2 linked regions of the Schizosaccharomyces pombe genome follow. The protein of the gene in region 2 interacts with the protein of the main gene of each other region in a pairwise test. Each region holds a gene or a part of one and is shown on either strand. Other genes may lie near its edges. The genes, in order: moc3 and dri1.

The links.
Region 1: the proteins of dri1 (region 2) and moc3 interact in a two-hybrid assay, tested with the Schizosaccharomyces pombe proteins (2 studies listed by BioGRID).

What each region holds. Positions count from the first base shown.
Region 1 is NC_003424.3:990,814-995,689, forward strand, and holds moc3 (DNA-binding transcription factor Moc3), read right to left. Parts: upstream 2,976-4,876; 5' UTR 2,466-2,975; coding exon 939-2,465; 3' UTR 819-938; downstream 1-818. Other genes in the region: mitotic and meiotic (sporulation) septin Spn2, read left to right, coding at 43-712; ubiquitin ligase Slp1, read right to left, coding at 4,663-4,876. UniProt on the Schizosaccharomyces pombe protein: Induces sexual development and ascus formation. Also involved in calcium homeostasis.
Region 2 is NC_003424.3:2,008,785-2,013,638, reverse strand, and holds dri1 (RNA-binding protein involved in heterochromatin assembly Dri1), read left to right. Parts: upstream 1-1,933; 5' UTR 1,934-1,943; coding exon 1,944-3,734; 3' UTR 3,735-4,294; downstream 4,295-4,854. Other genes in the region: rRNA processing protein Ebp2, read right to left, coding at 1-707; rdl1 (RAD51D-like protein 1), read left to right, coding at 4,798-4,854. UniProt on the Schizosaccharomyces pombe protein: Mediates heterochromatin assembly by promoting RNAi-mediated heterochromatin silencing and histone deacetylation. Binds pericetromeric transcripts and recruits the RNA-induced transcriptional silencing (RITS) complex to heterochromatin.

The sequences.
Region 1 (4,876 bases), 1.0 Mb from region 2:
TGGAAATTTCTATTCCTGCACAGCAATTTCTAACTATAATAGCTGGGAGCCTATAATTAAGTACATTAGGGACCAACACTCTTCCTATCTTCGTCGTGAATTAAATTCACATCGCGAGAAACGTCTACAAGACACAAGAGTACATTGTTGTTTATTCTTTATTCGCCCAACTGGACATTCTTTGCGCCCTATTGATATTGCTGTCCTCAAACGCTTAACAGAAGTCGTAAATGTTGTGCCTGTTATCGCTAAGTCTGATTCATTGACTCTTGAAGAAAGAGCAGCATTTAAGCAGCAAATCCGTGAAGAATTTGTTAAACACGACATCAATTTGTATCCTTATGATTCTGATGACGCCGATGAGGAGGAAATTAATCTAAATGCTGCCGTCCGAAATCTTATTCCTTTTGCCGTGGTCGGTTCCGAAAAAGCCATTATCGTAGATGGAAGGCCTATTCGTGGTCGTCAAAACAGATGGGGGGTTGTCAATGTGGATGATGAAAACCACTGCGAGTTTGTTTTTCTTCGTAACTTTTTGATGCGAACTCATCTTCAAGATTTAATTGAAACGACCTCATACTATCATTACGAGAAATTCCGCTTTAAGCAATTGAGCAGCTTAAAAGAACAGTCTTCCCTCGCAACTAGAATGGGAAGTCCCGCACCTGTGTACCCTTCTGAACCACATCTCCATACAGCCACCGCTCAATAGTCTTCTTCCTAAGGTAATATATAGTATGTTTAGAACAAAGACTAAACCATTTGTATGACTGTCGTACCGTAATTCGTAAATTTCGGCTCTTTTTACACTATGCGAATCTTACAAATGAAGTGTTTATCTTATTAACGAGAGATTATATGTTTGATGCGTGATTTTGTCTAGCTATTATACAGTTCTATATCAATATTTATTGAAAAGCATCAAAATGATTTTAAAATTAAAGTACTGGTCGATTTAAGACATTGCAATCCATAAAATGTTCTAGCATCAATCTTCCGAAATGAGATTCGATTTGTGCCCGAAGTTTAAATTCTTTAGAGTTTGATGCAAAAACATTTTGTAGAGATAATACGCATAAATAGGAAGTGCGTAATACTGCAATATCTGTGCATTCTTCTTGCATTAATTGCTGTAAGCCAGAAAGAACGTCATTATTGTTTTTGGTAACGGCATGTCCTACACAATCTATAACTTTAGTAAGAGGACTTCTTGATGCTGAATACAAGTGCACATGATATTCATCTCGCCAAGCAACCATTCGTTCTCGATGCAAATCATCAGACAAGGTTGGTTGAGAGAGAATGTCCAATCCAATAGTAAACAAAGAATCCGAAACAGGTGCATGACTTCGAGAAACAGAAACTTCCGATAAAGGCTTTCCATTAAACCCCCAGATACACCCACGAGGAAGAATTGCAAAAACTAGTTCACGAACGACCATAGCAATCAATAAGCTGACATAATTTGATTTGGTAGACGAAGACCAACTTAACTTTCTAATAAAATTATTACAAAAATTGAGATCATAGGCTGGGAGATTGAGCTGAGTGAGAGTCAAAAATGCAGAAACCAACAGGTATTCAAAAGAATTGGGACCAGGCATTGGACAGCGAAGAGCTCTGGTCAAATGACTGTAAGCACCAAAAACGTCGAGCTTCTTAATAGACGCAAAAGCCATTAAAGAATTAGCAATACAAGGCATCGATTGAGCAAACTGGGGAACAGTGACTGACCAAAAATGCAAGGCTATGTTATTATCAAATTCAAATGCACAAATAGAAGGTACGACATCGTGAAAATAAAACGGAAACAGTTCGGAATTAAAGTTTGAAGGGAAATTGGAAACTGATGAAAGAAAAGGGTAAGAGGCCTGACCCACCGATTGTACAGAGGGTTTTGTAGACGAAGTAGCGCTAGAAGAATTATTTGTAGGAACGTTATGATTGGATTGAAGGTATTGATGCTGTTGATAAGCACTTGGAAATCCTTGTAAATTCATAGGTTTTTGATGATCCTGTTTGATTGGGGTAACGGTGGATAAATTGGAGGAGGAGGTCATCTGATTAAGATCATTTGTATTAAAATTGGATTGTGAAGAGCCGGAAAAAGTGTCTCCGGTTTGAGCGCTACTTGAAGCAATTGAAGTAGGTATCAATGGCTGTTGAGCAGAATGAACGCTTAGCTCAGGAGGCGATACACTCCCCATGGCTTGCATTTGAGCAGCTGAATTTGGATAACCTTCACATTCCCTATTTGTCTTTGTGCAGTTCAAACAAAAAGGTTTGGTTTCGTCGCACTTGATCCTGCGACGGCGACATGTTAAACATCCAGTTTTCGTTCTTCTTTTTGTGGGCTTGGGCGTAGGCTCGACGTTTGGGTTGGGAATATATAGCGGATTTGAATTAATACTACCCGTTCTATTCCGTTTCATATGAATTTCGGGATAAGAAACATACGGGTTCATAACTGCAAGGGAAACAATAGATAGAAAAAAAAAGAATAACAAGATAATAGGAACTAAACAAATCAAAAGTAAAGAAAGCCCGATTTGAAAACGCTACGCTGCTTGAGAAAAGCGCGCAAAGAAAAAACGCAAGCACAGAACATGAAATTGGAAGCCGATTTATACAAAATTTAAGCTCCAATTTAACAAGGAAACTAAGCACCTTTTTCGTAAAGGCCAAGAAACTCTTTGTAGTCTTTTTTTTAAAAAAGGTAGCGTTACTAACTCTATAATTATATATATATGAATACAATAAATTATTTCAGAATAACCGGACGGCCAAACTGTTCGTAATAACAAAAGAAAAAGCCCTAAAAAAACAAAAGAAGGTGAAAATCAATGGTCGTCTAGCAATTTGCTAGCAACTCTTGCACAATCAATAGGTTTATAGGAAGTGACTTGAAAACAAAACTAGCAAAAGCGACAAGCTCACCCAATTTACAAATGCAAATTTGGGTGAATAAAGGACTTAGAAAAAATGTTGGAACAACTTTCAAGTAGGAACCTCGACATTAGCGAGTGATAAGGCGGCAAATTTGATAAGCCCAAAGGCAACAACAATACTAAGAGCTTTTTATTTAGACGTTAGTAAAGTAGCTTGCTTGATACGCATTAGTACAAAAATCCAAAGAATTGAGAAAATCACGAGCCAAGCAAAAACAGTATAAGAACGATTAACTTGTTTAACCTCTAATGTTCTTTTAAAAATAAAAAAAAAACACAGATGTTTCGTTAATTTTTTGATACTTAGATTATGCCCTCATGTGTTTCATAAATAGCATTCCTTGCTTTTCGTTTTTTTCTGTTTTTTTTCTTTTTCTTTCAGACAATTTATAAAAAAAATTCTTTGCATGTACCTAAATATAGTTTGCATTCTCATTTAGGTTGATCAAGTTGGTTAATAACCACGTGGCTTCGAATATCTGTCATGTTCAGGAGCCACATGTCTCTCCATTGTTACAGCGATTTGGTTGATCTTTACATGGCTTACGCATACGAAGATGCTTCCTGCATTTTTTTTTTATTTCAAATCGTTCATTCACTCTGCACTAGCGAAAATCTTCATTCATATGCAAACTTGTCACTCTTTTATATTAACAAAATATAAACTTAAGCTTGAATACAACTGTTAGCTTTGAACGCTACACCTACCCTAGTACCCTAGTAGCTTGATAACCATAGCGAAGATCCGTGGCCTATTGTCGATCTCTGGGAAACTGTCACTGGATCAAAAGCATCATGTTTCTTCGCTCGGTAAGAAAACTATACTCCAGATTTATGAGAAAGGCACAAAAAGCATCAAAACCTATGCCAATGCAAGTCTCACAAAACCAAATTATCCACCCCTAAAGGTGGAATTGTTCGTTGTTCGTGATGCGATTATTGCTTTATCAGGATGATTGTACTTAATCTCAATCAGATCACCCCAAGGTTAGTCGGCTTTGTCAAAGGTCTTACCTTTTATTGAAATCCATATCCTCCTGTAACAATAGGGGATTCACTATTCATACCTAGTTCACCCATTTTTCTCATTTCACTTCTTAAAGCAAATAACGTATAATAACAGTATTTGTTTACTGATGAGATTAACATTACCCGATGAAGAAAACCAACTATGGTACAGCAATAGGTAGTTAAGAAAATACATGAGATCGTAAATACCAAATGTTTGCCAATTATGAGCGTGAATTAGCATTAGTTTTTTTTTTTCTTAATTCATCTGTGTTTCAATAATACGAATTAGATTGATAAGTTTTTTTTTTTTTTTTTTTTTTTTATAACTACCTAGTACTCTTCCATGATGCGAACATTATAACAACAATGAGACCAAAATATCTTTAGCGATTGGAACAACAAGGTCACATTTCGGAAAAATGATTTGCCAGGCTGAAGATTTATATTAACCAACTTGTTCTCATTAAAAGCCAAACTATTGAATTTACAAATTTGTTATACGAGCATCAATCCTATTATAATAAAATCGACTCAAGTTGAATTGTAGCACATATTATTTATTCACGAGTCATTAAAATATTAGTTTAAACGTGTCAATTATCTTCCCATTAGCGCCAAATCCAAATAAATAAATAGTGAGTAACTGATGCAACATAGTGATTCGACGAGCTAAACGTTGAAATCTAAAAGAAACTGGTGTTGTTCAACGGATTGTTATGCTGCTGGACGGGGTTTTGGTAATTGGAATGGGCCTTTTAACGTGGTCCCCATCATAAACTCGCCAAAATTTCAGATTCTCATCACTGGCTGCAGTTGAAAGAATTCTTCCATCAGGCGATAAAGCTGAATACAAAACTCGGGTATCATGTGCAGGAATATCAACTTGTTTGGTTAATCCGCTGCTACTATAAGACCAT
Region 2 (4,854 bases):
AGAAGGTTAATTTTTTCGAGGGTTTCCTTTTTTTCCCGTTGACGCTCTTCTTGTTTAGCAAGCTGAACTTGTTTACCAAACTTCTTGAGTTCTCGTTGTTTCTTAGCTTGCTGGGATAGTTTTTTAGCGGTTGCTTCTTTAATCAACTCTTGACGCACTTTCTCCATGTGGTCATCGGACTTTAACATTTCCGCAAAATAGTCATGAGGTCGGGAAATTAGAACATTCGCCTCACGAAGTTTGGCAAAAGCCGCCTTTACAGAGCTCACACCTTGTTTATAAAAGGCCAGTTCACGGGCAAGATCATCCTCAACATTTTCAATTATTATAGGCTCCTTAGTAGTAACAGCTTGGTTTTCAACAAACGAAATATCATCAGGATATTTAATTCGTTCATAGATGTTCTCTAGTGCAACAGTGTTATTTATAGCTAATTTTCTTTTTCTAATCAAATCAGCGTCTTCTTCCAACTCAATTCCTTCAAGATCAGAAAGTTCAACTTCATCTGATCCCTCAGATTCGTTCTCTTGATCAGCTGTATCAGCTGTTTCAATAATAGGAGATTTAATGGTATTGATCATTTCTTTCTCATTTAATGCCTCAACAGAAGTAGAAGATTCATTGCTTTCCTTGTTTTTCTTTTCCTTCATAGCAGCTTTAGCTGCCTTTTTCTGAGCTCTTCTTTGCTTTGATTCTATTCCTGCCATCGTTGTAGTCTAGTGTGTATTCTACACAAAGCTGAATTTGAATATTTTTCAAAGGTTTTGAAAAATTTGCTTTGTGCTACTTTGATTAATACAATCTACGATTAGGCTAACGGTGACAAAGATTTTTACTATTGCAGTTCACATCAAATAATAAAGAGCACATTTAGAATCGCTAAGCTGATTAACGTTGCGTTATATTACTCTTAGTCTTCATTTAGGTTGTACGGAAGGCATTTAATAAATCCTTAACGTAAATTTTAACCCTTTATTTGTCCGTATAAAATTCGTTGTATCAATTTTAAGCTATAACTTGGTCGCATTTTATCGATTGTAGAGTTATTGCTGATAAATTTATGTTTTGCTACATTACACCAACTCTAATTGAAATGACGGTAATTTAGTAAATTATCAGTTGTGTAAGTAAATTACTATCAGCTTTTTTATGTAGCAAGATGTACAAATACTTTTCAATGGATGGCTTTTCAGTATAACTTTTCCCTTGACTTCCTGATACAATTGTCAAAATAAACAACAGTTCTTTGATTGTTTACGTGGTTACAAAAAACCCCGGTATTGTTCATAAGATGTAAGCTACGCAGTTTGGTATCTGATTTAAGGATACGTAGAACTGCGGTGAGTTTTCCTTGTGATCTATTATATTACAATACACAGGTTGTATAAGTAGCAACTGAGTATAGGTATTGTATTAACTGGGTTATAATGTTAACTATCACTAATATAGCTCATAACTGAACTGAGGAACGAGGTTCAGCAGTAGCTCTATTTATAGTATTCAGATAATATTGATCTTAATAGATTATCATTAAGATCAATCTCCATATCGTATTATACATGGTACGATATATAATTAGAACATGTGACATATAGTGATACTCAACGTAGTGTAGTATTGCTGACATAAGAATACCAAATGCTTGATGCGCTAAATTATGGTATAATAATTTATCGTAAAATTTTCATTTTCATTGTGTTTCGAAAGTATTGCTAAATTTTCTGCTTTGCATGCAAAAGAATCCCACAACAATACACGATTCGACAGTAACATCAGTTGTACATATTATTGTTCATAAAAGATTTTTCTCCTTTGAATAATTCCGCTTAGGTGGATTCTAAATCTAGATTTGTTACTTTTGTGACTGTACTTGTGAGTGACAAAGAAAAACACCAACGGGTTTGTAGCTTTGCAATATCATGTCAAAGCTACCAAGTCCAACAATGCCTCTGCCAGAATCGGTAGGCGACTTGGTTGTTTTGCACTTTGAAACAAATCTTGACGATCACGGCATTAGCATTGGCCGGGCGCCATGTGAAATTCATGAAATATGCTGGGTTATATTAGATGGAAAAACTTTGGAAAAACAACACTGTGAATCGTGTAGTATTCGTGAAGATAGTTCTCGTCATGGAATTTGTGGTTCTGCTAGTTCCTTAACTGAAGCTATCTTCACATTGGATAATTCAATCCAAGAACGATTAAACTTCCAAGGAAAACCTTTTACATTTGTTGTTATGAATGGAAGAGAGCTTCGTGTATTATTGCCAAAAGAAGCACGGGATCAGGGAATTACGCTACCTTCCTACATGCGCCATCCTCGCTTGTTTGATTTATCAAGCGAATACGCCAAGTGGCAGATTCGCATGGGTGCAGTACCACCATACACAATAACGCTTTCTCATATTTTTGGTAAATTAGATGTCGACTCTTTACCACCTATTACAGAGTCAAAAGCAATTGAATTATCACCTTCAGATGCTCCTTACATAACCAAAGGTCTTACTCAATGCTGGCGCCTTGCAAATGCTACCACCTTATTGCTTCGTAAAGCAGAGAAAGATTCTCGAGGTCATTCTCTTCCTTCGGTGCTTACACAACCCATTAACTGTCAAGCAGACGCACGAAGCTTTTATGCAGAACGGTCAAAAATTGTACACGTTGCAGGTTTGACCAACGATGTAACACAGCTCGAGTTGGAAAGTTGGTTTACTAATCATGGGGTTCATCCCGTAGCTTTATGGACTTTAAAGACTCCCGAACCTTACAAATCTACGGGTACAGGTTTTGTGCTATTTGCTAGTCATGAAGATGCTGCCGATGCTCTTGCCTTTAATGGATATTGCTTAGGAGATCGGATGCTGGAAATTATTCCCAGTAGTACAAAGGTTTTAGATAAAGCTTCAGACATTCTAATTCCTTTTCCTTCTAGTAAGAATCGCCCACGCCCTGGGGATTGGAATTGCCCAATGTGCGGTTTCAGCAATTTTCAACGTCGAACGTCTTGTTTCCGATGCTCATTTCCTGGTCCTACTCATGTTTCAGCTGCTACTGGTAGCAATACTTTTTCACCTGATTTCCCTTATGGAAATTCATACGGCAACGGCTCCTCTCACTTTATTGCCAACTATGGTGGATCTGTCCATCATTCTAACGAAAATACCATGCAAAGTGATCTTCAGCATCAGAATGGCAATAATGCTGTAAATCATCATCATTCTTCACGCTCATTCGGTGGTAATGTCCCTTTTCGTGCTGGTGATTGGAAATGTGGCTCTGAGGGTTGTGGATATCACAATTTCGCAAAAAATGTTTGCTGCTTACGCTGTGGGGCTAGCCGTGCTACAGCTGCAGTCGTAGCAGATCATGCATCTGGGCCGGTGAATGGTTCGTATAGTCATAATTCATATTCTCACATCCCCCCTGTTATGAGTACAAGTCCTCCTAATCATTCGGTGTATCCTTACTCACAACTTTCTATAAATTCAGTAACGGCTAATCATGGTCAAAATTTTGGGGGACAAAATGGTGGTAATGTATCTAGGTTCGATGATCATGGACGCTTTAAAGAAGTATCACGTCCTTCCGTTACTACTGATCAAGGCGATTGGTTATGTGAGTGTGGATTTACTAATTTTCGTCGCCGCAGTAATTGTCTCCGTTGCAATGCTCCGCATTACTCTAATATGCAGATTCCTGCATCCTTGCCTTCGGATTTCAATGCTTACGTGTAAAGTTGGACAATTATATTTAATGGATAGGTCCCGTAGTACAAAGGATATTTGGTAAACACTATAGCTAAAAATGCAAGTGATTAGTGCGATAAAAATAATCACTTATGTCTTGAAGGAGCAAATTTGATGAAACAATTGTTATTATTTAAAGGCAGCATTTTGAAAAGCAACTCTATTGGAACAAAAATTTAAAAGTTGTATTGGGTTTTCTTATGAAGGTTTTGCATAAACATTGAATTACAGGTGTGGTCAAAATTAGTTCATAATTTTCTTTGGTGGGTTTTTTTCTTCTATTTAGTGCTATTTAATTTTTGACCTTGAAGAAATTTTCGGGGAAAAAACAGCAGTCAATCGTATAGAGCTCTCCCATATTTGGGATTTGGGGATTCATTTGTTTTGGAGTGTCACACTCATTGAACGTTTGAAAAAATGGTTGTTTACCTCTTACAGTTGTCAGTGCTGTTCAAATTTATAGGGTTCTTCGGTAAATAATGTATTGTTAATATTCCTTTTTTTTATTATATAATTTATAAAAATTTTGTAACGATAATGATTAAATCAATCGATACATGAGGTTACTTGTAATACATGGCATTATTAGAGAGAATTAAATTCGCATATGTAGCATTTAAAAACAGTTAGTTGATGCTTTTCTATTTTTTCTTTTTATTCTTAAAGGGTTATTCTCAATATATACAAATCCACACCAGTGTGGCTATATACTGTACTCGAATGTTGACGACCTTTCTGCTTCTTTAATCCATACCCTAATTAAATATAATCCATGTAGATAGTTCAACAAAAAACATGAGATAAGATTCAACACACACTCATGATTAGTTAAATACTTGTTGAACATTCCGGAAATTTTTGACGATTGTACGTATCTTTTCCTTCAACGCATTTGGGTGTTTATCTCTTTTAGAATGCCATTAGCATAACCAGGGGATGATTGCAAAAATCAATTTCATTGATCATCAATATCGTTGGAAAAAACAATTCTATCGAAAGTTTAAAGCATACCAAGCAAATTCTTAAAGCAGCTTATATATTTTCTGACATTATGAATCAGGTTACTCAATTTAGTGGAAATTCTGCAAACTTGATGCTTTACTGGATT